4 linked regions of the Stegostoma tigrinum genome follow. The protein of the gene in region 4 interacts with the protein of the main gene of each other region in a biochemical or structural test. Links are inferred from orthologs where the notes say so. Each region holds a gene or a part of one and is shown on either strand. Other genes may lie near its edges. The genes, in order: ran, rbm15, alyref and nuclear RNA export factor 1.

Region 1 (7,208 bases), on a different chromosome or scaffold from region 4:
CAGTCTCCATTATCACTTATCCAGCTTTTCTTCCCTGGCTTACTAGTCTCAATCCTTTTGCCCAGTATCATCTTTTCCTCTACTTATCCTCATTCCATTTTGCCCCACCCCTACCATCATCTAAATACCACGCTTTCCCCTCCAACAAAAACAAAGAACTGCAGAAGGTGCAGATCTGAAACAAAAATTGCTAGAGAAGATCAGCCGGTCTGACAGTATCTGTAGGAGAAAGCAGAGTTAATATGGAGTCCAGAGACAGTGCTCTGCCAGACCTGCTGAGTTTCTGCAGCATTTCTGCTGTGTTTCATTACTGACTTTTGTGCTTTGAAAATTAGAAATGCCACTCAACACTTCTGTTACACCAAGACAGCTGGTCTCAAGTGAGCGCTAACTATCCAGGGTCAAATAGGGTTGTCAAACTCTTCTGGACTCAAGGTCCAAAGTTTCAGCCTTACCATCTAGAACTCAAAAATGTATAGAGGCATTGAAAATAAAGTTTTACCCTCCCCAACACTTTGAGGACTGTCAATCCTACCAAGCATTTTACATCAGAACTTAAAAAAAATCAAACTAGTAACAGTTCCATGAGACTGCTGGGAGAGGAGAAAAAAAGAGAGAAAAAATGATTAAATTAGATTACCTACAGTGTGGAAACAGGCCCTTCAACCCAACAAGTCCACACCGCCCCTTGAAGCATCCCATCCAAACCCATCCCCATTCCCTATAACCCACATACCCCTGAACACTATGGGCAATGTAGCATAGCCAATCCACCTAGACTACACATCTTTGGACTGTGGGAGGAAACAGGGCACCCAGAGGAAACCCATGCAGACACAGGGAGAATGTCTCTGTGTAGAGTTTGCACAGTCACCAGAGGCTGGAATTGAACCAGGGTCCCTGGTGCTGTGAGGCTGCAGTGCTAGCCACTGAGCCACCGTACCACCCCAAAAGGCATAAGTAAATTAGCCATACATTAAAGCTTAATTTTAACTAACCAAGGATATGAATACTGAAATGAACTGTTAGTGGAATCATCTACCCACTTATGAAGTGAGCATGAAAGACTAACTGCAGCTTAATGAAAACATCTTAAGCACTTCAAGAAAATGGAACAACATACACACCCTGATGGACCTAGATGCCCTTTAAATAAATGGATTGTTTGCAACTAAATAAAACCATGTAGTTTTTTTAGCCTCCTGATCATTACCACAAATGTTGGCAGTACAATGGCACCAGCAAGAGTAGTCTTATTGCAGTACTTCTACAAGCACCTTAGATTATGGATCAGTGCGATTTCATAAGAAAAAAGGAAACATACAAAATATTCTACTCGGGGGCATGTCATGTCCCATTTCAGTTTCCTCATTTTCCTCTTACCTTTTCACTTACCACCTCATTGTAAGCGTCACATAATAATCAGCCTTCACCTTTAGCACATGGTTAGTAGAGGCTGCTTATTATTCCATAAGAATCTTTGCAATACTTAAAACGCAGCTCCGTAGAGCCATTTCTGGCACAAACTCGCTGCTGGGAGTGAGTCACAATCCAATCTCATGAGCTGTACTGACATTGAAGACACATGGCAAGTAACATGGAGGCTGAAATAACTGAAGTCCATTTACAGAAGAACCAATTCTTTGATCAGAGTATTGTTACAGGTACTCCATATACACCCAAAACACAAGTACAACAATGACACACAACTTTCAGTTACATTATTTACTACAAACGGATTAAGCATATGAGATTCTCACAATCATTACTTGCAACGCAGAAGCTAAAGACTCCAACCTCACTGACTATTTCTGATAGGCATTAAAAATGCAAAAACAAAACATGGGTGGGCCAACATACTCAACATTGAGCATTAAGTGCACAGCTCTTCAAGCAATCAAAGGCAAACAGCACTTAATTTCTAAAATAAAAAAACCAAGAACCAAGGCACAAAGTGGACTGTTCATCCATTCAAAATTGCAGGCAGTTCTGTAACTTCAGGTAAAGCATGCAGAAGAAAACTGGTTTCTGAAAAGGACGCATTTACCTTCACCCCTGTAGCAGATTCTTACCTTGAACTGAACTTGAGGTTCTCCTTGATCACCCATAGCTTTTTCTTAAAAAAAAACCCTTTAACAGAAAAGACAACCTTTAATTGAAAAGCACAATCAGAAACGGGTCAGAAACACAGTTCAAGGCTTTACGTGTGTGGAGACATGGCGCATTATCACAAAAGGGCGGAAAGGACTCAAAAATAACGGTCCCCTGAAAGAATTTAAAGTGGCACAGAAAAGAGTGGCAGCAAGTCACAAAAAAAAAGGGTGGGACGCAGATAGTTTGCTGCCCCCTGGCCCAACAAGTGATTTTAAGGATTAAAAAAAATTGATAGAAATCAGCCTGGGACCGCAGCGAGGAGTTCCAGCAGCAAAAAGGCCGAACAAAGGGGATAGGCCCGGGGAGGGGAATGGGGACAGAGGAAGGCCCGAGGCGGTGGGGATGGAGAAAAGGCGCCATGTGCTGGCGCCGCCCGGGCTTCAAACCCGGGGCCAGGCCTTCGCTCCCTCCTCAACCCCGTGTACGCTTAGGGGGCGGAACCCGGGGGGGGGGGGGGGGGAAGGGGTGCAGAGTATCTCCCGGGGAGTGGTGGGGGCACAGTCTCCCTCCTGAGGGCGGGGGTAAAGAGACAGTGAGCCGGGAGGGGGACCCCAGGCTGAGGGAAGGCCTAAGGGCCCGGGAGAGCGGGAAATGGCGCCGCGGCCTCGCCGCAAACGGCCGAGAGCGGGAAGCCCAGGCCCGGGATTGAAAGGTGTAAGGGAGCCTCTGTCCACCTTTCCGTACCCTCCCCGGGATATCAGGGACACGGTAACCGCCCTCCATCCGCTCCCCCCACAACATCTCCCGGACCCTCACCTTCCAGAAACCTCTCTCCCTCAAAATGGACGCTCGAGCCTCAAATATTCAGCTCAGCGCAGCACGTGACCAGCCGCGGTGCGCGTGTCCGCAGAGGGAGGCGTGGGCTGGGTGCGCGTCCCCGCGGGGGCGGGGTTTTGTGTGTGTGACGGAGTGAGCGTGCGCAGGCACCGTTCGCGTGTCTCTGAGTGAGCATGCGCGCGGGGACATGTAACCATGTGGAGTTCCGTATGATCTGGCTGTATCCCTTTCCTACCTACTATCCTCATCCCGCCTTCCCTGGACTGACCTATCCCCTCCCTACCTCTCTTCTCCTCTCTCCATCTTCGGTCCGCCTCCCCCTCTCTCCCTATTTATTCCAGAACCCTCACCCCATCCCCCTTTTCATCCAGCTTCACACTTTATTACCTTGGATTCTCCAGCATCTGCAGTTCCCATTATCCCTGTACCCCCTTACCTGGGTTTGGTTTGTGGAAACAGTGTAATGCTGTCAGTCTGGGTTCAATCCACACACTTTGATCAACCTTTCCCCTCTCCTAAGCAATTATGACACTCAGGCTAAACTACCAACCTCTGTGCGTGTCTCTCTCGCTCTCTCACTAAAGAGCAGCCCTGTGGTCTGGTAAAACTACAGCAATTTGTCATTCCTCACCATGTAGCTGTCTGATCTATCACCATTCCCACTGTATTATTTACATTTTTTTCCACCATTATTCTGATTTTAGATAATGCTGGGTCTTCTTGCGTTCATACTTTGAGTAAATTGAGTGAGGAAGAAGCTTTTGAATTACTAATGAGTTGCAGAGTTTTTGACAGCAGGTAGGGAAGTGGAGTTCAGGCCAAAATGAGATCAGCCATTCAATGGTGGGCAGGTTCAAGGGGCTCAATAGCCTACTTCTGCTTAATGTTCATGACCTAATATTTGCACACAGCTATAGGTTGTACCCACAGCACATGGACTGCAGCGGTTGAAGAAGGCAGCTCAGCCCCACCTTCTCAAAGGTCATTTAGGGACAGGCCGCAACACTGGCCCATCCAGCGACACGCATCACACAAGTGAATAAGGAAAAGTCCTGAATAACAGCGTGGAATGGTCATAGTTCAGAAAGTGGTCATTGAGCTCGTCACATCTATTGCTAGCTCACTGATGCAGCAATTCAGATAGGACAGAAACAAAGCTGTACATGGTGGGAAGGAAAGCAATAAGTGAACGTGGAAAGCAGCAGAAACAGAGGGCAGCATCAAATAGGTTCAAAATTCAAAACATGTTAAAAAGACAAAATTAAAGGCACAATTATCGGTTACTAGTGGTGTACCACAAGGTTCTGTTTTGGGGCCACGGCTGTTTGTCATTTTTATAAATGACCTGGATGAGGGCGTAGAAGGATGGGTTAGTAAATTTGCAGATGACACTAAAGTCGGAGTCGGGGTGGATAGTGTGGAAGGATGTTGCAGGTTTCAGAGGGACATAGATAAGCTGCAGAGCTGGGCTGAGAGGTAGCAAATGGAGTATAATGTGGAAAAGTGTGAGGTGATTCACTTTGGAAGGAGTAACAGGAATACAGAGTACTGGGCTAACGGTAAGATTCTTGGTAGTGTGGATGAGCAGAGAGATCTCAGTGTCTATGTGTATAGATCCCTGAAAGTGCCACCCAGCTTGTTAAGAAGGTGTACGGTGTGTTAGATTTTATTGGTAGAGGGATTGAGTTTTGGAGCCATGAGGTAATGTTGCAGCTGTACAAAACTCTGGTGCAACCGCACTTGGAGTATTGTGTACAGTTCTGGTCACCCCATTATAGGAAGGATGTGGAAGCTTTGGAAAGGCTGCAGAGGAGATTTACCAGGATGTTGCCTGGTATGGAGGGAAGGTCTTATGAGGAAAGGTTGAGGGACTTGAGGCTGTTTTCGTTAAAGAGAAAGTGAAGAGGTGACTTAATAGAGACACACAGGATGATCAGAGGATTAGATAGCAGGGACAGTGAGAGCCTTTTTCCATGGATGGTGATGGCTAGCACGAGGGGACATAGGTTTAAATTGAGGGGTGATAGATATAGGACAGATGTCAGAGGTAGGTGCCTTACTCAGAGAGTAGTAAGGGCGTGGAATGCCCTGCCTGCAAATCAACAGCTTTAAGGGCATTTAAATGGTTGTTGGATAAACATACAAATGATAATGGAATAGTGTACATTAGATGGGCTTCAGATTGGTCTCACAGGTTGGCGCAACATTGAGGGCCGAAGGGCCTGTACTGTGCTGTAATGTTCTGTATTCTATGTTCAATGTAGGCACAATTATTGCAGATGATGTATGCTGTAAATTGGGAGAGGGGAGTGTGCAGTGGGACCTCAATATCCTCGTGCATCAGTTGCTGAAGGTGAGCATGCAGGTACAGCAGGCAGTAAAGAAGGTAAATGGTATGTTGGCCTTCACTGCGAGGGGTTTCGAGTACAGGAGCAGGGATGTGCTTTTACAGTTGTACAGGGCCTTGGTGAGACCACACCTGGAATACTGTGAGCAGTTTTGGTCTCATTTTCCGAGGAAGGATACTCCTGCTCTCGAGGGAGTGCAGCGAAGGTTTACCAGGCTGATTCTGGGGATGGCGGGTCTGACGTATAAGGACAGATTGACTAGGTTGGGATTGTTTTCATTGGAGTTCAGAGGAATGGGGGTGATTGCATAGAAACTTATAAAATTCTAACAGGACTGGACAGGGAGGAATTTCCCGATGGTGGGTGTGTCCAGAACCAGGTCACAGTCTGAGGATTCGGCGTAAACCATTAAGGCGGGAGGTGAGGAGACATTTCTTCACCCAAAGAGTGGTGAGCCTGTGGAATTCATTACCGCAGAAAGTAGTTGATGCCAAAACATTGAATGTATTAAAGAGGCAGCTAGATATAGCACTTGGGGCAAATGAGATCAAAGGTAATGGGGCAAAAGCAGGATTAGGGAATTGAGTTGGATGATTAGCCGTGATTGTGATGAATGGTGGAGCAGTCTCAATGGGCTGAGTGGCCTCCTCCTGCTCCTATCTTCTAAGTTTCTATGTTTCAAAACAAAAAATACTAATGAAGTGTCACCTGGACTCAAAACATCAGCTTGTTGTCTCTCCATGGATGCTGCCTGACCTGCTGTGATCTCCAAGTACAAAGGCACTCCACCTGAATACAGAGATAATGGGAACTGCAGATGCTGGAGATTCCAAGATAATAAAATGTGAGGCTGGATGAACACAGCAGGCCAAGCAGCATCTCAGGAGCACAAAAGCTGACGTTTCGGGCCTAGACCCTTCATCAGAGAGGGGGATGGGGGGAGGGAACTGGAATAAATAGGGAGAGAGGGGGAGGCGGACCGAAGATGGAGAGTAAAGAAGATAGGTGGAGAGGGTGTAGGTGGGGAGGTAGGGAGGGGATAGGTCAGTCCAGGGAAGACGGACAGGTCAAGGAGGTGGGATGAGGTTAGTAGGTAGCTGGGGGTGCGGCTTGGGGTGGGAGGAAGGGATGGGTGAGAGGAAGAACCGGTTAGGGAGGCAGAGACAGGTTGGACTGGTTTTGGGATGCAGTGGGTGGGGGGGAAGAGCTGGGCTGGTTGTGTGGTGCAGTGGGGGGAGGGGATGAACTGGGCTGGTTGAGGGATGCAGTGGGGGAAGGGGAGATTTTGAAACTGGTGAAGTCCACATTGATACCATATGGCTGCAGGGTTCCCAGGCGGAATATGAGTTGCTGTTCCTGCAACCTTCGGGTGGCATCATGGTGGCAGTGCAGGAGGCCCATGATGGACATGTCATCAAGAGAATGGGAGGGGGAGTGGAAATGGTTTGCGACTGGGAGGTGCAGTTGTTTGTTGCGAACTGAGCGGAGGTGTTCTGCAAAGCGGTCCCCAAGCCTCCGCTTGGTTTCCCCAATGTAGAGAAAGCCGCACCGGGTACAGTGGATGCAGTATACCACATTGGCAGATGTGCAGGTGAACCTCTGCTTAATGTGGAATGTCATCTTGGGGCCTGGGATGGGGGTGAGGGAGGAGGTGTGGGGACAAGTGTAGCATATCCTGCGGTTGCAGGGGAAGGTGCCGGGTGTGGTGGGGTTGGAGGGCAGTGTGGAGCGAACAAGGGAGTCACGGAGAGAGTGGTCTCTCCGGAAAGCAGACAGGGGTGGGGATGGAAAAATGTCTTGGGTGGTGGGGTCGGATTGTAAATGGCGGAAGTGTCGGAGGATAATGCGTTGTATCCGGAGGTTGGTAGGGTGGTGTGTGAGAACGAGGGGGATCCTCTTGGGGCGGTTGTGGCGGGGGCGGGGTGTGAG
Region 2 (7,615 bases), on a different chromosome or scaffold from region 4:
CCAATCCCTTTGTGGTTTAATTTAATATGCTAATCTCTTACATGGGACTTTGTTGGAAGTCATCTGAAAGTCCAGTAAACCATGTCCACTGGCTCTTGCACATCAACTCTACTGGTTACACCTCAAAGGATTCCAGTAGATTTGTCAAATGTGATTTCCCATTTGTAAATCTATGGTAACATTGTCTAGCCGTGCCACTGTTTCCTAAGTGCAGATGGTGCACGCTGCTGCTATTACACATTGGTGATGGAGGGAAATGATGTTTATTCATGTGGTACCAATCAAACAGGCTGCTTAGTCCTGGATAATATCAATTCTTTTGAGTGTTGTTGGAACAGTACTCATCCAGGCAAGTGTGGAGACTAATCCCTGACAGATGATTCCTTCATTATAAAAAAATCCCCTCTCTGAACGTAGATAGTTGGAGATATCCTTGAAATTAGCGAATAGTGTTCAACCTTGGTTAATTACAGAGGTTTGACAGCTACAAATTTCAGCTCTGTAACCACGTAAGTTCCACACCATCATTATCATTGAGAATACTGTCACTAACATGGAGCAGGACTTCACGGACCTGATTGTTGTGGCATTGATTCAGAACTTAACTCTGGAGCCAAATGAACATTGAGACCCATGACAGATCAAATTTAACATAGATAAGTTTGACAATGTACATTTTGGAAGGAAGACCGCAATAAGGGAATGCAAATTAATAGGGACAATTGTAAAGAGATGTAGGATCAGAGAAACTTGAAGGCATACGTACTTAAATCTTTTACATTGGTAAAGCTGTTAAAAAAAATGCAACCATTGATTGATTGATTTATTGTTAAATGTACCCAAGTACAGTGAAAAGCTTTGTTTACAAGCAGTACAGGCAGATCATAGTCAGCAAGGATGTACAGATCATAGGGTGGAGAAAGCTAGACAGAAACATACAAGTTATTTCGCACAGGGTGTGCACTAGGCAAAATCAACATTAGCAAGTTCAGCAATATTTGAAGTTAGAGAGTCCATTCATCAGTCTAAGAATGGCAGGGAAGAAGCTGTTCTTGAATATGCTCATGCATGTGTTGAAGCTTCTCTATCTTCTGTCTGATGGAAGAGTTTGTAGGAGATCATTCTGGGGTGTGATGTGTCTTTGATGACATTGACAGCCTTTCTACGGTAACGGACCAACAGTAAACCGACTCCATGGATGGAAGGTTGGCTTCCGTGATGGTCTGGGCTATGCCACCGCCTTCTGTAGTTCCTACAGTCCTGGGCAGAGCAGCTGTCATGTCAGGCCATTATGCACCCAGACAGTATGCTTTCAATGGTGCATCTGTCGATGTTGATGAAGGACCCAGTGGACATGCCAAATTTACTGAACCACTTGAGGAAGAAGAGGCATTGTTGTGCCTTCTTGACCGTCACATCTACGTGGGAAGAGCAAAACTGGTTGACGGTTATCGTCACTCTTAGGAACTTCACACACTCCACCCACTCAACCTCAGCACCATTGATGTAAATGGGGGCATGTTGACATCCTGTTCTGAAGTCGATGATCAGTTCTTTAGTTTCGCTGACGTTGAGAGAGAGGTTGTTCTCATTGCACCATGTTACCAAGCCCTCTATCTCCTTTCTGATTCGTCATTGTTTTATATCCAAGGTGGTGTCATCAGCAAACTTGTGGATGGCGTTTGTTTAGATTTTGGCAATGCTGTTGTACAGGGAGTACTGTAGGGTGTTGAGCATGTATTCTTGGGGGGGGGGGGGCGTAGTGATGACTGTTCTCATGGAGGCTGTGCAATTGGCAAATCTTCAGTGATTGTGGTTTGTTGGTCAGGAAGCTGAAGATTCAGTCACAGAGGGCAGAGCCTTTGTAAACAGAAGCCTGGAAAGTGCAAAAGCTAGAAAATTTTGCTAAAATTTTATAAAACTTTTATGAGGCATCAGCTAATATTTTGTGTCCAATTCTAGACAACTCACCATAAGAGATGAGGCTGAGGAAATTTATCAGTGAAACTACTAATGGAAGACTCAGTTAGTGAATATTCAAGGGAAGCTGTGATTGTTCTCCTTATAGAAGAGGAACTTAAGTGAACATTTGATGCAACTGTCGTTGATGTCGAAGAGCTTCATGATGTCTGGAGAAGGATCCTTAAACAGAGGGCATGGATTTATAACAACTAACAAAGGATCCAGAGGCAAAATTAGGAAAGATATCCCATCAGCACTGCCAAAAAGGATGTTGAAAACACCTCAGTTGTAACATTCCAAAAGAAAATAGAACATGTAGCATAGAACAGTACAGCACAGTACAGGCCCTTCAGCCCACGATGTTGTGCCGACCTATTATCCTAAGAACAATCTACGCAGCACACCCTATATTTTACTATCCTCCATGTGTTTATTCAGGAGTCACTTAAAAGTCTCTAACTAAAAGTATCTGACTCCACCACCACTGCCGGAAGCACATTCCACACGCCCGCCACTCTCTGTGTGAAGAACCTGCCTCTGACATCTCCCCTATACGTTCCTCCGATCAACTTAAAATTATGCTCTCTCGTAATAGTCATTTCCACCCTGGGAAAAAGTCTCTGACTATCCACTCTATCTATGCCTCTCATCATCTTGCAAACCTCTAACAAGTCACCTCTCATCCTTCGTCACGCCAATGAACATAGACCTAGCTTCCTCAACCTTTCCTCATAAGACCAGCCCTCCAGTCCAGGCTGCATCCTGGTAAAGCTGGATGAACACAGCAGGCCAAGCAGCATCTTAGGAGCACAAGAGCCTAGACCCTTCATCAGAGGTTGGTCCAGAGGGAGGAGGGTAACTTCTTCAGGTTAGGCATCCCTGGAAGAGGCTTTGCAGTGAGGTCTGATGAAGGGTCCAGGCCCGAAACATCAGCTTTTGTGCCCCTAAGATGCTACTTGGCCTGCTGTGTTCATCTAGCTTCACACTTTGTTATCTTGGATTCTCCAGCATCTGCAGTTTCCATTATCTCCGATCTAGCATCCTGGTAAATCTCCTTTACACCCTCTCTAAAGCTTCTACATCTTTCCTGTAATGTGGTGACCAGAACTGAACACAATATTCCTAGTGTGGTCTAAACAGAGTTTTATAGAGCTGCAGCATAACCTCATGGCTCTTAAACTCAATTCCCCTGCCAATGAAGCCAACACACTGTACGCCTTCTTTACAAACCTATCAACTTGGGTAACAACTTTGAGGGACACATGGATGTGGACCTTAAACCCCTCTACTCCTCCACATTGCTGAGACTCCTGCCATTAGCCCTGTATTCTGCATTCAGATTTGACCTTCCAAAATGAATCACTTCACACTTTTCTGGGTTGAATTCCATCTGCCACTTCATTGCCCAGCTCTGCATCCTGTCAACGTCCCATTACAACCTACAACAGCCCTCCATGCTGTCCACAACTCCTCCAGCCTTCATGTCATCAGCACACTTACTGACTCACCCTTCCACTTTCTCATCTAAACCATTTATAAAGATAATCAGCCCCAGAACAGATCCCTGCAGCACATCACAAGACACCAAACTCCAGGCTGAATATTTTCCAACTACTCCCACCCTCTGTCTTCTATCGGACAGCCAGTTTTGTTTTCAGACAGCGAGAGAGTTTGGATAAATAATGGAAGATGGTCTACAAGGGAAATAGTAGGGAACAAGAATGGTGTTAGAGAGAATTTCAGAAGCACAACAGCACAATCACAATGCTGTAAATCACTTAATAAGAACATAACAAACTGCAAATGCTGTAAATCAGACACAAAAACAGAAGTTGCTGGGAAAGTTCAGCATGTCTGGCACCAGCCAGGGACAGAAATCAGAGTTAATGGGAACTGCAGATGCTGGAGAATTCCAAGATAATAAAATGAGAGGCTGGATGAACACAGCAGGTCAAGCAGCATCTCAGGAGCAGGAAAGCTGACGTTTCGGGCCTGGACCCTTCATCTCTGATGAAGCTGAAACGTCAGCTTTTGTGCTCCTGAGATGCTGCTGGGCCTGCTGTGTTCATCCAGCCTCACATTTTATTATCACAGAAATCAGAGTTACTGTTTTAGGTTTGATGGACCTTTGTCTGAACTAAATGGGGTGAATGGCTTGGAGACAATAAGGTCTGCAGATGCTGGAAGCCAGAGTCTGTAGGTGTGAGGCTACAGCAGGTCAGAGAAGAGGGAAAGTCAACATGTCAAGCCCACACGCTTGGTCAGGCAAATGGCTTACCGTGTGTATGTGAGATCACAAGATGTGGAGCTGGATGAACACAGCAGGTTAAGCAGCATCTCAGGAGCAGGAAAAGGGTCCAGACCCAAATGTCAGCTTTCCTACTCCTCTGATGTTGCCTGGCCTGCTGTGTTCCTCCAGCCCTGCACCGATTACCACACTCCACCAGGACCAGCTCCTCCTTCCCCATCTGTGCGAGAGATCATATATAATGTGTATTGGGGAGGGGGAGGGGAAAAGGGCGGAGCTACTCTGCCAGAAGGATGTGGGAAGCAGCCAATGGGAGGGCGTGGTGCTACGGCGTCGCGTCCAATGGATGCGGGGGGATAGGGGCGGACGTTAGAATTCGAACGGAATTTCTGGTCTGATCTTTTTATTCGTGTTTCCAATTTCCATCGCCCAACGGCCATGATTTTCCTCAAGGTTCCGCTCAGCAAGTCTTCGTTAGAAGTTTGCCAGGCGATTGGCCAAGCAATAGCCTGCCTGGGCCCAATCAAAGTAAAGTGCTACTGAATAGACTGTAAAATTCTCCAGGATTTATTCAGGTGGCGCTTAATAAATTCGTTAGATTGTTTAATAAATTCAGGGATATCCGGCCCTCCATTCGACTTTAGAACAGGGTTTATGAGACATTGCCGAGTGCGTTACCAGGGCGTTACTGAGTGACACAGCACCGGCCAGTGACATGGGGAGGCCCAGTGATCTCGACCAATCACAGAGCGAGGCCTAGTGGTCCCGGCCAATCATAGTGCGGGACACAAAGGTTCTGGCCATTCAGCGTGGGCGTTGGGGGCGGGATCAGGTACAAAATGGCGGCGATGGCCCGAGTGGATTTTCGGTGTTGGTGAAAATCTGTGGAAAAAAATATCGGGAAGAAATAATCGATTTAAAACCATCAAAAAAGGGATTCAGTCGGTAGATTAATGAATTATCTGAGGTAAACTGTCGATTTAAAAGCGTCGATTGTTTCTATTCCTTCCCAAGGGGAAAGGGAAATAATGAAGGAGTACCAGTGAAGGAACGGCGGCGAGGAGATAGTGCAATCCGCCCGTTTTTATATCAGTCTGTATTTTTAGTGGAAGATTGATTTTTGTCTTTTCCTGCAACCTGGATTGCTAATTCCTGTCGTTAAGGAATATGAAGGAGAAAGACGTGTCGCCTAAAACTGGCGGAAAACGCGGTGAGGAAAGGCGAAGCGGCCATCACCAACAGCCGAGGAAAATTGGGAATACCCACAACAGCATCAACAGGAACAACAAAAACCACGGCAATGCCAAGAGGGCTCGCAACATTAGCGGCAAAAGGACCAACAACAGAGATTATGATGTTTACCCTCCCAACCGGACTACTAATAACTTGAGTCTTTCTTCCGCTTCCTCAAGGGCAAGTAGGACTGAGAGACAGCCTGCTGAATACAAAACCCTCAAGATCAGCAATCTGGGTTCCCAGTTGAGTGATGGTGCCATTGAGGATGGCCTCTTCCACGAGTTTAAGAAGTTTGGGGATGTCAGTGTGAAGATTTCCAGGGATGGTGATGAAAGAGTGGCCCTGGTGAATTTCAGACATTCTGAGGATGCTAAGGCTGCTAGGCACGCCAAGGGCAGATTGGTACTGCATGATCGCCCTCTAAAAATTGAAACAGTTTATCCTCCTCCAAAAGGAAGAAGTTACTCCCCTGAAATGGATGGGTATTCTGCACCAAGTGTCCAAGGCAACCGACACAGGCAAAGATCTCTGTCCCCTGCTGGACTTGGTTACAGAGAGCATAGAACTCAGCAACGCAGTTCTTTGGGGCGTCAGTTACCACCCCCACCACCTCCCCCTCCTCCACCTCAGAGAGATTTGGAAAGAGAGCGGGATTATGCCTTTTATGAAGGCAGGGCACGTGCTGCTTACACACTTGATAGAACCACATTTAGGGAGGATGAAATCTTGCCAGAAGATGACAAAAGAGCTAACAGGACGTTGTTTATTGGTAACTTGGACCCTTCAGTGTCACAAAATGACCTTCTGCTTGCGTTTGAAAGGTTTGGCGTTATCTTGGAGGTGGATATCAAGAGGCCACCACGTGGGCAAGGAAATTCTTATGGTTTCCTGAAATTTGAAAACTTGGACATGGCCCATCGAGCTAAGATGGCAATGTCAGGAAAAGTAATTGGACGAAATCCCATCAAAATTGGATATGGGAAAGCAACGCCTACCACTCGATTGTGGGTTGGAGGATTGGGTGCCTGGGTTCCTGTAGCAGGTCTTGCAAGGGAATTTGATCGATTTGGGACCATAAGATCAATTGACTACAGAAAGGGAGACAATTGGGCTTATATTCAGTATGAAAGCTTGGATGCTGCACAAGCTGCATGTACTCAGATGCGTGGCTTTCCCTTGGGTGGACCAGATCGACGTCTAAGAGTTGACTTTGCGGATACAGAACATCGTTATCCTCAACAGTATCTGCAGGCCTTGCCTCTACCTCCTTTTGATTTGATTGGAGATGGCCTTCTTCCTCGAGGTGCAGAGTGTCTGAGGGGTAGGGAAAGAAATTCTCCTCCAATGCATTACAGAGAAAGAGAGCTTTTCCCAGGCAATGACTGGCATGTCCTTTCAGTCCGGGAAAGAAACAGAAATAGCCATGAACAGTTCGATCATCTGGATCGTGAAGTCAGGGATAGCTGGTCTCTTGAACGTGGGCGTGACCATATTTTGCAAAATTGGGACCAAAGAAGGAAAAGGAGAGGCCCTCCAGATACACGCCCAGCTGATTGTTCTCCTAGCAATGACCGCTCCAGAAAACGACGATGCATTTCCCCGGATCGCAGCCCGGGTAATAGCAGTCGTGATGGTGGACGCCACAGTGATTCAGACCGTGATGTTAAGAATGAGCGGTATTCGCCCAGTAGGGATCGTTGTAACAGCACAGAAAAAGTGCCCTGTGGTAAACATGAGACCAAAACTGTCAATGTGAATGAAAAGGATAAAGACCGCAAACATAGAACTACAGAATGTGCAAGTCCCACAAGGAGCAAGACTAAATCTGACTCCAGCAATGCCAAAGCATCGGATGGCTTCCGGGAATACGAACGCAAATTAAATGTAGCCTGGCATGGAATGCTGGTACTGAAGAATAGTTCTTTTTCCACAAACATGCACTTCCTTGAGGGTGATCTTGGCGTTGCGGCCAACTTATTAATGGATGTCTCAACTGGTGGAAAAGTCGCACAGTTAAAAATCACTCAGCGCTTACGACTAGATCAGCCTAAATTGGATGAGGTAACAAGACGCATCAAGGCATCAGGCACTAATGGCTATTGTGTCCTATTGGCTGTACCAGCATTGAACAGCATGGAAAATGTAGAAGGAATGTCAGCTTCTGTAGAG
Region 3 (7,802 bases), on a different chromosome or scaffold from region 4:
GAGAAAACAATCCAAATCTACCGTTTATACTTGTGCTGTGTTACAATAGAAAATTTGTATGAAAAATCATATCCTATCTTGGGTACAGGTCAGATCAGAGCAGAAAATATTACTCGTGCCAGCCTTTAAAATAGCTATATGTGGATGTCAGCATTTCTGTTACATGCCTTTTCTGGGGTTAGCTGTTATATAATTTATTTAAGAATAAGCTACAAGCAGATTCAATCAACTATAATTTATGAATCACAAAGAGGGAGGCAGTGACGTAGTGTTAATATCACTAGATTAGTATTCTAGAATCCCAGGGTAATATTCTGGGACATGGGTTCAAATCTCACCGTGGCAAACTTGAATCAATAAAAATCTGCAATAAAATGTAGGTTAATGATCACCATTGTTGATTGTCATAAAAACCCATCTCGGGCATCCATGTGACTGAAGACCCACATCATGTGGTTGACTCTGAACTGTCCTCTGGGCGAATGGGAATAGTCAATAAATGCTGGCCTCGCCAGAAATGCTCTCATACCGGGAATGATTCTTTTTATTAAAAAAAATTGCAACATAGAAAGAGACTATTAGACCGATCAGGGTCATGTTCCACATAAACCACCCCCTCAGTACCACCATTCTTAAAACCCTTATCCCAATATTTACATTGAAATGTTATTTATCAAGAATCTTTCTTGAGAATCAAACCAATTTAGTTGGAAAATGAAAAATCATAAGGAAATGACAAATGTTGTTACAAAATGTAATTGTTTTTAATCCATTGAACAGTTTGTCATAAACAAATGCAGACATCGTATGGGATAGCTATATATAAATCTGACTTTGAGAAAGATATTAGCAGTAAAAGATTAGAGATTTAAGATTCTCAGACCAAACTGGTAGTAATTGTTCAATTGCTAGAACATAAAGTATGAATTTATTCATCAGTTATAGCCCTTATTACCGACTCCACATTTATAGTACTTTGATTTTTCTTTCTTGAAAAGTACAGAAATAATGATAATCATCAATAGAATCAGTTGTGACTAGGCAGAAGGTATGTCCTTGTCTCCTTTGACTCATCCCTTAATCAGCTGCAGTGATTTTAACATTGGGACCTTTTATAATCCATGTGGGATATGTTCACTCTTGATGGGAATGTAACCAGGAAATGACAATTTTCAACAGATGAAACAGAAGAATAATTGTTCCTGAGGGGGTAGTGACTGATGCCAAGCACAACTAATAAATTTCTGAATGTCAAACTCAATGTATTTGTTCCCATGGGCTTCTTACTGTAATTTTATTCTGAAGGACAAAATGAGCAGAATCAAAAACAATAACCCATAAAATATAGCACAGATTTTCTAAGTTATGCCATTGAAACAAGTTAGCCTGCTTCAGACTGTTCAGTAAATCCTTTAAAGTTATGAATGGATCTGCAATGCTCAAATACAATTATGTATTTAATGAAATGCCTTCAAAATAGTTTGACATTTCCTTCCTCCACCCACAGACAACATCAACAATATTCCTCGTTAATTATCCCCTCATTTTGGAGTCCAGTTTTTGAAAGAAATGCTCACAGCAAAGCTTAACGTTAATGGAATTTGAACCAACATATCCTGCTTGAAGTTTAATAGTATTCGTTGCATCGCCAATTCAATTGCATTGACCTTCTGAAAAGAAACAGCAACTGAGTGTGAAAGAAACTGATTGCTGCAACTGCTTTGTTTGAGTTACAGAAAATTAATTATACAAATTGTAGTAATGTAAGAAGTGTGAATCAGCGATCAATGCTGGTCAAACTGGAAGAGAAAGTGTATGAAATGAAGGATATATACTTGGAAGCAAGGCGAGAGATTACCACTGAGGATGGTCCATGCAAGGACTTGAATTAGGGGTGGGAAAACACATGGTTCTTGGAGAGGACAGCAACATCTTGTGTTTAGTGGTAGAAATGTCTCGTCACATAGCAGGCTGATAATCAAAAACTTGGCACCTGACACGTAAGGAGAAGCCAAAGAGGTAGGTCTCAAGGAATGTCTTAAATGAGTAGAAAAAGCTTGAAGAAATTTAAGCAGGGTATTTCAGTGCTCACAGGCTAGGCAGCTGAAGGCATGGTGGACTGATTATAATTAGGAAAGCACAAGAAGCAGAATTAGAGGAGTACAGAAGACTTGAGAGGCTGGACAAGGTTGCAAAGTTAGTGAGGGGTGAGGCTATGGAACTATTGTGCAGATAGAATCGTAGAATCCCTACAGTGTGGAAACAGGCCCTTTGGCCCATCTAGTCCACACCAACCCTAAGAGCATCCCACCCAGATCCATCCCCCTATAACCGACCTAATCTACACATCCCTGAACACTCCAGGCAATTTAGCATGGCCAATCCATTTAGCCTGTACATCTTTGGATTGTGAGAGAAAACTAGAGCACCCGGAGGAAACACATGCAGACAAGGGGAGAATGTACAAACTCTGCACACACAGTCACCTGAGAGTGGAATCAAACCCAGGTCCCTGGCACTGTGAGGCAGCAGTGCTAACCACTGAGCCACTGTGCTAGCTAATGGGAAGGTGAATCTTTACACAGGAAGGAATGCAGTTTCATTACTGATGTTAAGTTGTAAAATGCTGAACACGTGGCTTCAAGATTTGTAAGCTGGAGAGAAAGAGATGGAAACAGATGTGGGTCTCTAGGCCCGAAACATCAGCTTTTGTGCTCCTAAGATGCTGCTTGGCCTGATGTGTTCATCCAGCTCCACACTTTATTATCACAGATGTGTGGCATTGTCATGAAGTTGGAAGAAAGCAGTCCAATCCCCATCAGAATAGATGTCTAGTGAGCTCAGCTTGAAGTTGAACCGTAGAACAGCTCTACACTTCCTGATTTAGCCTAAAGGTAGTTGCCAAGGGAGTATATGAGAGGGGGAAAGGGCCAAATTTAAAGACTATAGGCAGGGGCCAAACAGAATGGGTTAAATTTTGATTGCATTAATCTGGAAATTGTGGTTGATGCAGGCAATTGGACAGTGCAGCAATGTTTTTTTAAAATCATTCACTAACTGGGGACATTGCTGGCTATGCCGACATTTGTTCCTCATTCCAGGGGATAGTTCAGAGTCAACCACTTTGTTGTGAGATGGAGTTACATGTGATCCAGACCAGGTAAGGATGTCAGTTTCCTTACCTAAAGGCATTCATGAACGATATGGGTTTTTTCCTGACAATCAACAATGGTTTTATAGTTATCATTAGACTCTTAATTACAGATTTTTGTAGAAATTCAATTCTACCATCTGCCACGGCAAGATTTGATCCTGGACCCCCACAACATTACCTGGGTCTCTGGGTTAACAGTCCAGCATTAAAACTGCTAGACCGTCGCCTCCCCCTTTGGACTGTCAAGGGAGTCAGACACTGTGTTGAAGTCAATCCGAGTTTATGATGATATCAATAAATTATAATATTACTAGAGGAGATAGGGTTAATGGTAGAATCTATAAAATGCTAGACTTATACCAGATGTGAGTTGAAATAGCAGAACTAATTTTGGGAGGCAAACAGAATGTTAACAAAAAGCTGCAGTTGTATGGCTTTACTTAATGTAGCCCAGCCCTATATGTGAATGGAGACTCAGTCTAAACAGCCAGCCATAGAGAGGGACAAAGGTTGATCTGCCCCCTGGAGCAAGCTAAAATAACTATTGAACAACACCATGTAGCAAGCAGTGATGAGCGGAACCTGCCTCTATTTGATGATTAGGTTTCCTTGCAGCAGGCAGGTGCTGTGCCTGCTGGTATGGTTGTTGGTTTCTATAACTGATAGGTTGGTACCACTGGGGCTGCAGTGTACAGACAAAATAGTGGAAACGTTTTTGATTCAATGTTTTCTGTATGCCCCTTCAAAAGACACTTGTTAAAATTAATAGCTGATCAATGAAATGTGTGATTCAATTTTAGATGGTAATCTTTGCCATTTTGCATTACAACATTTTTTCTTTAGCATTCCCCAATCCCTCCACACCACCATCCCCCAATCTTTCTCCTAGACCTATCCCCATCCCTCGCATCCCTGTCTCTCCAATCCCCATACTTCTCTGCATTCACATCTGATTCCCTAATCCCACCCCATTCACCCCAACTCAACCTAAATCTCCCCCAAAAATTCCCCCACCTCTCCCTGAAACGTCCCTCAAATCACTCCCACAAAATGCCCACCCTCTCAAATATGCCCCTTACACCACCATATAAATATCCCACACCCCCGCAGAAAAATCCCAACCACATAGCCCTCCCACAAATCAGAACCGAAATAACAATGAGTGTTGTAAATCAGGAACAAAAGCAAAGTTGCTGGAAAATCTGAGCAGGTCTGGCAGCATCCATGAAGGGGGAAAAAACGGAGCTAACGTTTCCCTTCCTCAGAACGTCTTCCCGACATATCAACCTACCACACACACACACCCTATTCCCATCCATGTATTGCTACCCAGCCCTGCTCATTCCCCACATCTCGCCCCCCAACTCCTGTGGGAGTTACCAATGAAGGCTGAGAAACTGCTCCCCCGAGGAGGTGTAGAGCTGGAGGAACGCAGCAGGCCGAGCAGGATCAGAGGAGCAGGAAGGCAGATGTTTCGGACCTTGTTATCTCAGATTTTACCGCGTCTGCAGTTCCTGCTACCCCCGAGGGGGTGTGTCCATGGCTGCGCGTGACGTCAGCACACGTCACCGCCGCGGGGGTTCCGTCTCATGCTCAGTTTCTCTGAATGGGCAGAGCCCGGCCCCGTTGTTTGTTCCTTCCCGCCTTGCCCGCTGATTGGGCGCATCCTAAGTGGGAGTCGTTGATGACGACTGCTATTGTGACCGGCCGTGGCGGGCAGCGCGTGCGCAGTGTGTGGACGGGCCGTCGTCACTCCCCATCCCGCCCTCTCTGTCCTTAAAGCCGCCATTAACCGTGTCAGTGAGGTGCGGCGCCGCGGTCAAAGCTGCGATAGATCGTTATACCAATTTACATTATATATATATAAAAAAACACACTCTTTAATCAAGGTGTTTTTTTGTTGATGAATCTGGAAAATTAGCTTGTTTTTCGTTTCCCCTGTCGGATACTCGAAAGCCAAGCCCTCCGTCGTGAAGAGGCGGTTTTGTTGTGTGGGGCGGGAGAAAGGGATTAAAGGGTTTTTTTCCTTTCTCCGAGAGCAAAAATGGGCGACAAACTCGACATGTCCCTGGACGACATCATCAAACTCAACCGGCAGAAAAGCCCAGGCGGCCGCGGGGGCCGAGGTGCCCGCGGCGGCGGCGGAGGAGGTGGTGGTGGTGGTGGAGGAGGAGGCGGTATGGGCCGGGGAGCCGGCCGAGGCGGCCTAGCCGGTCGTGGAGCAGCGGGAGGCCGCGGTGGCGGTGGAGCTGGGGCGGGAGCCCTGGCTGTAGGCCTCATGCGCAACAGACAGAGTGCAATCCGAGGAAGAAACAGACCGGCTCCGTACAGCAGGGTAGGAAGCGACCGCGGTTTTAACACACAAAAAAAACAGAAATGATAGGGGAAAAAAATGTTTCATTTAAATCCAGAGAGAGAGGAAGGAAAAACAAATCATTTGTAGATTTTTATTTTGTTTTTTTTCTGGAAGTGCTTTTTTTAATATAAAACGTTCGGTTTGAATTTTGAACCGAGCGGCGCCATATTGGAGCCGTTATAGATTCGGTTTTTTTTCATTACTTTTTTAAAACAAAAATCTTTTAGCCCGCTAACTTTTTAAAACAAACCCCGGGCCCCGCTGGCCACGAGTTATTTTTTTTCGTGAAAACGTCGGAGAATCGAGGAAGAAGGGATTGTTACACGGCGCCTCGTGATTTCTACGGAGGAGGCTGACAAGCGGAAATTCGTGTTTTCGTTGCTAATAATTTGCTTTTAAACGTCCGTCCAAGTCTGTTGAGAGCTCGGAAATGTGATGGCGGCTCCCGAGCAGAGCCTGCGGTCGACACCGGAGCCGAATTCACCAGGAGCTTTAAAATGGCGGCCCGACCCGAAGCACAAAGATGTCGGGGAGGAGCGTGGGGATCAGCAATCCTGCCGCAGTAATAATGCCCTCGCTCCCTTTGTGCTTCACACCGACGGATTTACAAAGGATGGACTGTTTGTAAGGACCACCTTTTGCCACTTTACCACATCAAAAGTTCGATTGATTATTTGCACCGCATTTCTCGACGGCAGCTTCGCATCTCTGGTCACCTTTAACAGACTCCTGAATTGATCAGGACTATTTCAAACTGCCTCTTTTTCTTTGGACTTTAATGAAACGTTCATACAAAAGTGAACCTTCTGCGAGCATATCCTTCGCTCGGTTGGTTACCTGGCAAGTCATGGACTTTTTTTTTGAAGGACTCTTGATCAGTTCTATTAAAAGGAACTTAGCTGATGCAAAGCGTTCCTTTGTTATGGACTCCTGCGCTGCCAAGAATTTTGGACAGTGGAATGCATCTCGCTTGGAAGAGATGGAGGCGTTGCAGCTGTTTCTGCTGGAGAAGCTACCACCAGCTGAGGAGAATTTCACCAAAGTATCTGGCTAGTGGCTATTAGAAGGAATCCAGGCTTTAGTTCGAGATGATGTGCTGTGGAAACAGTGGTAGGATAATAAGTGAATTCATTTCTCACCAAGTAAACAGTTGCATCTGATTTTCTATGCTTAATTTTCATCTATCATTGTGTGTACAGGACCACTTTATATGTTGCTAGCTTAGTGAACTGAGTACAAACATTTTAATTAGATACTAAATTATATTCAGTACATACGCACATGTCATTTTGTTAAATAGTTAACCCATTTCAGGTAAGGTCAGTGTATTTGTAATGAAACTCCCATGACAATCGCTGAAGCAAGTGACTCAGTCTTGCCTATAATATATTGTAAATATAGGGGGAGGGGAAAGATAGATAGGGTGGACATGTGAAATTAACCAATGTATTGGGGTACAAAATGTAGGAAGTCAGCGAGGTATATCTCTATTTTCTTATAGCCGAAACAACTCCCAGACAAGTGGCAGCATGACCTTTTTGACAGTGGTTTTGGCGCTAGCGGCGGTGTTGAAACTGGTGGAAAACTCTTGGTGTCCAACTTAGACTTTGGTGTGTCTGATGCAGATATTCAGGTAAGTGAAGTGCAGGATATTGGTCCTGAGTTGTGGGTTGGAAATGCTCATGGGTATTCTAGTTTGTTTAGAATTGAACTCTTCCTGCCACTGATTAAACAATACAACAGGATAGTGTGGAAGTTATTTTTAAATAGCAATACAGTTGGCCTTGCTATTCTCTTCTCTTTTTATCCCCCCTCAGACTCTTCTCCCTGAAGTGTGGTTTTTGTTATGTTACGTTGTTTTGGCTACTCTAAATATATGTCCAGCACCCCATCACCTGCAGATCCTAAAGTCTAGGTACTCTGGCCAATAAATCTGATGATCAGTTTGGTTTGATAAGATGATATACTGAGCCACTAAAAACTGTTCCTATCTAAATGCATTGTTTCAACCCCCTTTTATCAAACCATTTCCTTTCTCCAGAAGGAGCGGAATCCTCCTCCAAAACATCATCTCACTTGAATTTCATGTACCTTTTTATTCATTCCAGTATGTTGTCCTCAAAGACTTTTGAGTATCTTCTGCTTAATGCACTTCCAGGTTTTAATTGTTTCTAGACTTCAGACTTGTAGTTCCATGTCCCATGTCTGTCATTAGTCTTCAGAAATCTGACATGATTTAAATATTAGCTGTTGAAGTAAATGGCCTTGACTCATTGCTTTGCTCTGAGTGGT
Region 4 (7,091 bases):
GCCCGCCACTGCACACCCCCTGTTGTTAGTCACTAACAGTCCCCATTAACAACTACTCACCCTCCCAGCCAGATCGTTAGCAACTCCTTTGCCTGTCCAACTGTCTTTTTCTCTCTCCTTGGGCTCTGTCCTGTCGTTTACTCCCTACCCCACCCACCCACCTCCCTGGTTTCTGTATATAAACTGACATTTTCCCAGTTACCATCAGTTCTGAGGAAGGGTCACCGGACCCGAAATGTTAACTCTGTTTTCTCCTTCACAGGTGCTGCCAGACCTGCTGAGCTTTTCCAGCAACTTTTGTCTTTGTTCCTGATTTACAGCATCCGCAGTTCTTTCAGTTTTAAAATGTGAGGTGAACTTGATTAGGCCACTATTGGAATACTGCATGCAGTTCTGGTCTCCTTGCTATAGGAAAGATGTTGTGAAACTCGAAAGGGTTTGGAAAAGATTGATGAGGATGTTGCCGGGGTTGGAGGGTTTGAGCTACAGTTTGATGCTGAAGAGGCTGGATAAAAACCAAAAGAACTGCGGATACTGTAACTCAGGAACAAAAATAAAGTTGTTGGAAAATCTCAGCAGGTCTGGCAGCACCTGTGAAGGAGAAAACAGAGTTAACATTTCGGGTCCGGTGACCTGATGCTGCCAGACCTGCTGAGCTTTTCCAGCAACTTTGTTTTTATTCCTGAACAGGCTGGGGCTATTTTCCCCGGAGCGTCAGAGATTGAGGGGTGACCTTGTAGAGGTTTATAAAATCATGAGGTGTATCGATAGAATGAATTGCCAAGGTATTTTTCCAGGGTGGGGGAGTGTTGGAGAGAAACACGAGACCAGTGACAAAGACTCAGGAGGCAGGCACAAGGCAGTCTTTATTCTTGTTCAACCAACAACTGGTTAATGCAGGGAGAGGGCCAAGGACTTCCCTGAATCTGGCCTCAGTGTGTGAGAACCCAGTTGTTCTCTTAATCTTTGGCTCAAATCGGAAGAACGATCAATTTCATATTCCAGTGCTCACAGTGAGATAACAGAATTTTGGACATTTTGTGTTATAATAATCATATACAACATTGTTACTGTGTCCCTCCCCTTATTCTATACATTCAATCCTGTGAACCACCTAATCAATGATGGACATTCCTGTTGACAGCCCTAAGATCCCATGGGTCTCATGATGTTTAACAGACATTATAATCTCCAGGCCTTGGGATCTTTCTATTCATTCTATTAATTCACGTTCCAAAGTTACTAGCTATACTCCTTCGAATACATCCCAGACTTGCTTATCTCTAAGGACTGCTTGAATTCTGTTGCCCCTTGTATTCCTTTGCTATCTCCATCAAAATCTGTTACCCACCTTATATTTTCCCATTGTCCTAATTATATAAAAACAAAATACAGAAGACAGTTGGTTCTAACTAACTGCCTTAAGATTTGGAAAATTAATTTCTAATATATAGTTGGTTTAGTGTAAAATTTTATAGCTACCTCTGCTGTGAGCACTCTTTCGCTAATAAGTTGCAAGCAGTTTATTTCATACAGGACATGATGTTGTATACTTGTGCTGATAATTACGTTGGAATCTATCTGTGTGATCATCTGAAGAATCTTTAACTAGAACCTATTTCTTAATATTGTAACAATTTTAAGAAAATAAAACTAATTACTGCTAAATAACTTTCGCTGTTGTTTTCACAGCTGTGTGATGAATTAGGTTGACTGTTTTATGGGCTGAGATTTAGTGTCCTTATTCTGACTGATTCTTTCCTCCTAATGGGATGACATCCTTTCATTAACAAGGCTGGAATCAGTCACTTTTTACAGTTTAATGAACTTGTTTAATGCTACAGTTTTTTACAACCTGCAGTCTCAACGAGTTCATCTGTGTTTGTTACAAATTTTCAAGCTTGCGGCCCTTGACCACCCTCTTATTGAGCTGACCCTGATTGCTGCCTGTACGGGGCCTCCTCCCAACCCCCAAACCCCCTTTCACCTTGGAGTAACCCCTTTTCAAAGGCACCATAGTTTCACTTAAATGCTGGAGCAGGCATTTAATTCTGTTTATCCCCTTATCGGTCATTTTGTGTCTTTCAAATATGAGCAGCCGTGACAGTTAGCCTAAAACTGGAAGTCATAAGTTTAAAGTGAGAGGGGAAGAATGCAAAGGGTGACAACATTTTCACACAGAGGGTGGTGCGTGTATGGAACAAGCTGCCAGAGGAAGGGGTGGAGGCTGGTACAATTACAACATTTAAAAAGCATCTGGATTGGATACATGAAAAGGAGGGGTTTAGAGGGATATGGGCCCAATGCTGGCAAATGGGACTGGATTAATTAAGGATACTGGTTGGCACAGACTAGTTGGACCAAGGGGTCTATTTCCGTGCCATACAACTCTATGGCTCTTTGAGATAGATTTCTGATCACCAGTGGCATACTAGACTGGGTAAATTAACAATGATTGTATTGAACAGTGGGCCAACAAGCTGATTGACCTGCTTCTGTTCCTGTAGATATTTTTGATTTATTTTCCATAAAATGATATAAAGCCAATTTCAATAAAACAAAGAACGGTGGATGCTGGAGATCTGAAACAAAACACTGGTGGAGAAGCTTAGCAGGCCTGGGGATAAGAGTGAATGATTTTGCATCCATTATGACTCTTCGGAACAAAAATACATTTATCCTGTTTCTAGGATAAATCCCCTCACACTAACTCCACCCCCCCTCCACTCCTTCCCCCTAAACACAACCCCGACTCTGTTACTCATAACCCCACCGCCTGCCTTCCCGTAGCTCTATGCTCATTCCCTTCCCCTAATTTTTTGGAACAAACACAGAAGTTGCTGGAAAAGCTCAGCAAGTCTGACAGCATCTGTGAAGAAAGAAAAATCAGAGTTAACATTTTGGGTATGGTGACCCTTCCTCAGAACTGTTCTGATCTGAGGAAGAGTCATTGGACCCGAAACATTAACTTTGAATTTTTTCTTCACAGATGCTTTTCTAGTAAGTTCTGTTTTTATTCCTGATTTACAGCATCCATAGTCCTTGAGGACCCTTTTTTTTGGATTTGATTGCCCTGGGGGCCCCCTTCCTGCAGGAGGACTACTTTTTGGAGCTCATTCAGTTTTACTGACACCAATTTAACATTAATTTATTCAGTACTTTAACCATTTATACACTTTATTCTGTAATTCACCGGAACCTGGCAACATCATCCACTTTTCACCCTACCTGGGTACAAGTGACAATGTTAAATACGTCTGTGAGATAATAGATTCAAGTGCTCACAATCACAAAGTCTTGGAAACAAGTTACTTGCACTTTATTACGAGTCTGCAGAATCGGGTGCCTCCCATTGCCTGAGACACACACAGGTCAGGGAGTCGCCTCTTTTTATACATCATTTTATCCATCTATGTCCTCCACTTTCGGCTCTGTCCAATCTGAGCTCCAAGGTGCACAATCTTCCCATGTCGTCCCTTGTCCCACCCTCATCATACATTGCATGTTATGTTAATTAAGCAGTCTCGTAAGCATGGGTGTGAAAGTTAATATGCATTGTCTTATTAAGCATGCGCTTCAACTATGTCTATGGTGCAAAGCAAAACTTAGCAGTTTGGGTCCAGTTCATTCTGGTTTCTAACTGCTTGGCCTTCACTCCCTTATCTTATCACTCAGCTCAGTACCAGATGTCTTTGTTTAAAGCTGCAGTTAACTCATCCCTGTCTCTCACACGTCCAACCTAACCCCATCAGCAGCATAGACACATCTCTTCTCCTAACTCCACTTCCGGGTCCCCAAGCCCCGCCCCAAAGCGCTTGAAGCCAGCCCCGCCCCGCCTCCCTGTGACGTCAGGGAGCACCAAGCGACGCCAGTGATCTGGTGGACGCGCACGCGCGGTCGTTGCGGCGCCGTGGAGCGCGCACGCGCGTCGGACCGATTGTCCGTGGGTGAGGCGCCATCGCACATTCCTGTCAGAGCGGGCGGTCACACACAGACACACTACCGGGGGCGGGGTGTCCGTTAGAGCCTTAATCCCACAGAGCGACCAACACAAAACGGAGCCAACCAGCAGGACATCCCACGGTATCTTCTTTCTGCCTCCCCGCCCCCCCGCTCGGGTGTCATCCCCTGAGGAGCTCGGAGGGGAGAAACGGAGATTACTGACCGGATCCAGAGGAGGGAGACGAACGGGACATGTCGGAGGACGGGCGGCACTACAGCGGTAAGGAACGAGGCGGTTTAACGGACAAAGGTTCGACGCGTCTGACAGACAGACAGACAGACAGGCCGGGGGTGGTGGGGGTGGGGGAGAAGGTGGAGGCCTGGCGTTAGGCCTTAGAGTACAGGGTTGCACTTTGTATCCCATCGCCCCCCCCACCCCCCCAAACACCAAACCTGCCCCATCACCCCCCCCCACACACACCAAACCTTCCCCATCACCCCCCAAAACATACCAAACCTTTCCCATCACCCCCCAAAACATACCAAACCTTTCCCATCACCCCCCAAAACATACCAAACCTTCCCCATCACCCCCCAAAACATACCAAACCTTTCCCATCACCCCCCAAAACATACCAAACCTGCCCCATCACTCCCCCCACACACACCAAACCTTCCCCATCACCCCCCAAAACATACCAAACCTTCCCCATCACCCCCCAAAACATACCAAACCTTCCCCATCACCCCCCCAAAACACCAAACCTTCCCCATCACCCCCCCAAAACACCAAACCTTCCCCATCACCCCCCCCCAAAACACCAAACCTTCCCCATCACCCCCCCAAACATACCAAACCCCCCCCATCACCCCCCAAACACCAAACCTTCCCCATCACCCCCCCCCAAAACATACCAAACCTTCCCCATCACCCCCCCCAAAACATACCAAACCTTCCCCATCACCCCCCCAAAACATCAAACCTTCCCCATCACCCCCCCCAAAACACCAAACCTTCCCCATCACCCCCCCAAAACACCAAACCTTCCCCATCACCCCCCAAAACATACCAAACCTTCCCCATCACCCCCCAAAACATACCAAACCTTCCCCATCACCCCCACACACACACCGAACCCTCACCGCCCCCCCAAACGCTCCGAACCCTCACCGCCCCACCCCCCCAGATGCACCGAACCCTCACCGCCCCACCCCCCCAGATGCACTGAACCCTCACCGCCCCACCCCCCCAGATGCACTGAACCCTCACCGCCCCCCCCCCAACCGCTCCAAACCCTCACCGCCCCCCCCAGATGCACTGTACCCTCACCGCCCCCCCCAAACGCTCCGAACCCTCACCGCCCCCCCCGATGCACCGAACCCTCACCGCCCCCCCAACACACCGAACCCTCACCGCGCCCCCCCCCACAAACGCACCGAACCTTCACCACCCTCCTCCCCCCCCACCATCCCCTGCGCTTCTCTTCCCCTGCCCCCCAAGCCCACGCTTTTCTACTACCCCCCACCACCATGCTGGCTCTTCTATTCCCGCCCCCTTCCACACCCTGTTTTGTCTCCCCATTGCCCCCACCCACATATCTTCTCCCCCCTCCCCCCCCCACACACTCCCTCTGTGTTCTGCAAAATCCTCCTCCCCCATGGTCTGCTACCCCACCCCCGCCCCCGCCCCCACGGTCTGTTCCCCAACCCCTGTGGTCTGCCACCACTCTTCTCCTGCATTCCGCCACCCCTCCCTCTTGTGCCTCTGACTCCGCTCCCCTCGCTTTTTGCTCCCTTGGCCGCCCACTCACAGCACTTGTCTTCCCACCCCACAACCCCTTGCACGCACTCCCCCATCCCGTCCCTTGCTGTGACCCCTCTTCCCCCAACCTGCTTGACGACTCACTGGCCTAGAATCTTAGTTGCATTCTAAGATGTCAGTGACTTAACAGCTGTGCAATCGTGTCAATATTCACTACTAAATTTTGGTGTGTAACTTACACTAATTTCATGTGGTGAAATTTTTCAACTGCTACTGTTGGCTCAACAGTAGAGATATCAGGCAATGTCTGAGGACATTGTCAGGAAGCTGTAAAGCATGGCAGAGTGCATGAAGGTTGCTCTTGTGATCTTTGTGCTTTGTCAGAGATTGTAGGTGTTACCACCTCCATCAGTGAGCTTGTGGTCTTGCAGATTTCAGTGGTACTGATTAGCAGCCTGACTTGTGTTGTTGGATAGTATTGAGTCTTCTGAATGTTGGTGCTTCACCTATCACCTCTAGTTCTGCAGTGTTCTGAATTTGAGCCCTTTCAGTTCTGGTCTCTTGATCACCCCTGATTTCCATGGTGCACCATTGTTCATCACGCCTTCAGATGCGTGGGTCCTAAGCTCTGTAATTCCTTCCTTCCCTCTTCTGTCATCCAAGTTCATTCTCAACTCTTAGGCCAAGGTTTTGGGTCATCTGCTTAAATATCTCCTCATACAGGCTGGCATCACCTGAATTTTTCTGACACACTCTGTCACACAGCACCTTATGTTTTTATAATGTAAAAGGCCCCATAGAATTAAGTTCTGGTTGAAAAGACGAAAAGAAAAGCCCGTCCAAATGCAGTCAAATACTTCCCAAAGCAAGATCTGTCTGATTGACATCTTGCACCAGCAAATGCATAATTAAACCTGAGGAGAGAGTGAAGGAGCTTCATTCTAAGATTGAGATAACAAAGTATAGAGCTGGATAAACACAGTAGGCCAAGCAGCATCAGAGGAGCAGGAAAGCTGACGTTTCGGGTCTAGGCCCTTCAGAAATCTTCAGAAACTGGCCTAGAATCAACTAGACCGGAAACGTCAGCTTTCCTGCTCCTCGGATGCTGCTTGGCCAGCTGTGTTCATCCAGCTCTACTCCTTGTTATCTCGGATTCTCCAGCATCGGCAGTTCCTGCTATCTCTGTAACCATTCTAAGATTGATCTTTTGAAGATTGAACTTTCCTGGAAATTCCCACAGTTCTCCTCAGTGTCTGCTATCACCCATACACTTACACTGAAACCATATACATTAAAAGAATGCTGTTCACTGAAGTTCAGTACCTCCTGCAATTTACTTAAACTTCTGAAGTTGGCAGGATTTCAGAATTCTGACTTGGGTCCCTGC

The links.
Region 1: the proteins of nuclear RNA export factor 1 (region 4) and ran form a complex in vitro, tested with the Homo sapiens proteins (2 studies listed by BioGRID). The link is inferred for Stegostoma tigrinum from reciprocal best matches to the Homo sapiens genes NXF1 and RAN.
Region 2: the proteins of nuclear RNA export factor 1 (region 4) and rbm15 form a complex in vitro, tested with the Homo sapiens proteins (2 studies listed by BioGRID). The link is inferred for Stegostoma tigrinum from reciprocal best matches to the Homo sapiens genes NXF1 and RBM15.
Region 3: the proteins of nuclear RNA export factor 1 (region 4) and alyref form a complex in vitro, tested with the Homo sapiens proteins (2 studies listed by BioGRID and IntAct). The link is inferred for Stegostoma tigrinum from reciprocal best matches to the Homo sapiens genes NXF1 and ALYREF.

Annotation. Positions count from the first base shown.
Region 1 is NC_081379.1:1,447,567-1,454,774, reverse strand, and holds the start of ran (GTP-binding nuclear protein Ran), read right to left. Parts: upstream 3,021-7,208; 5' UTR 2,911-3,020; intron 2,131-2,910; 5' UTR 2,109-2,130; coding exon 2,073-2,108; intron 1-2,072. UniProt on the Homo sapiens protein: GTPase involved in nucleocytoplasmic transport, participating both to the import and the export from the nucleus of proteins and RNAs. Switches between a cytoplasmic GDP- and a nuclear GTP-bound state by nucleotide exchange and GTP hydrolysis.
Region 2 is NC_081374.1:584,210-591,824, forward strand, and holds the start of rbm15 (RNA-binding protein 15), read left to right. Parts: upstream 1-4,599; 5' UTR 4,600-5,377; coding exon 5,378-7,615. UniProt on the Homo sapiens protein: RNA-binding protein that acts as a key regulator of N6-methyladenosine (m6A) methylation of RNAs, thereby regulating different processes, such as hematopoietic cell homeostasis, alternative splicing of mRNAs and X chromosome inactivation mediated by Xist RNA.
Region 3 is NC_081375.1:11,189,398-11,197,199, forward strand, and holds the start of alyref (THO complex subunit 4), read left to right. Parts: upstream 1-4,800; 5' UTR 4,801-5,198; coding exon 5,199-5,489; intron 5,490-7,011; coding exon 7,012-7,143; intron 7,144-7,802. UniProt on the Homo sapiens protein: Functions as an mRNA export adapter; component of the transcription/export (TREX) complex which is thought to couple mRNA transcription, processing and nuclear export, and specifically associates with spliced mRNA and not with unspliced pre-mRNA.
Region 4 is NC_081395.1:11,825,376-11,832,466, reverse strand, and holds the start of nuclear RNA export factor 1, read left to right. Parts: upstream 1-4,080; 5' UTR 4,081-4,194; coding exon 4,195-4,222; intron 4,223-7,091.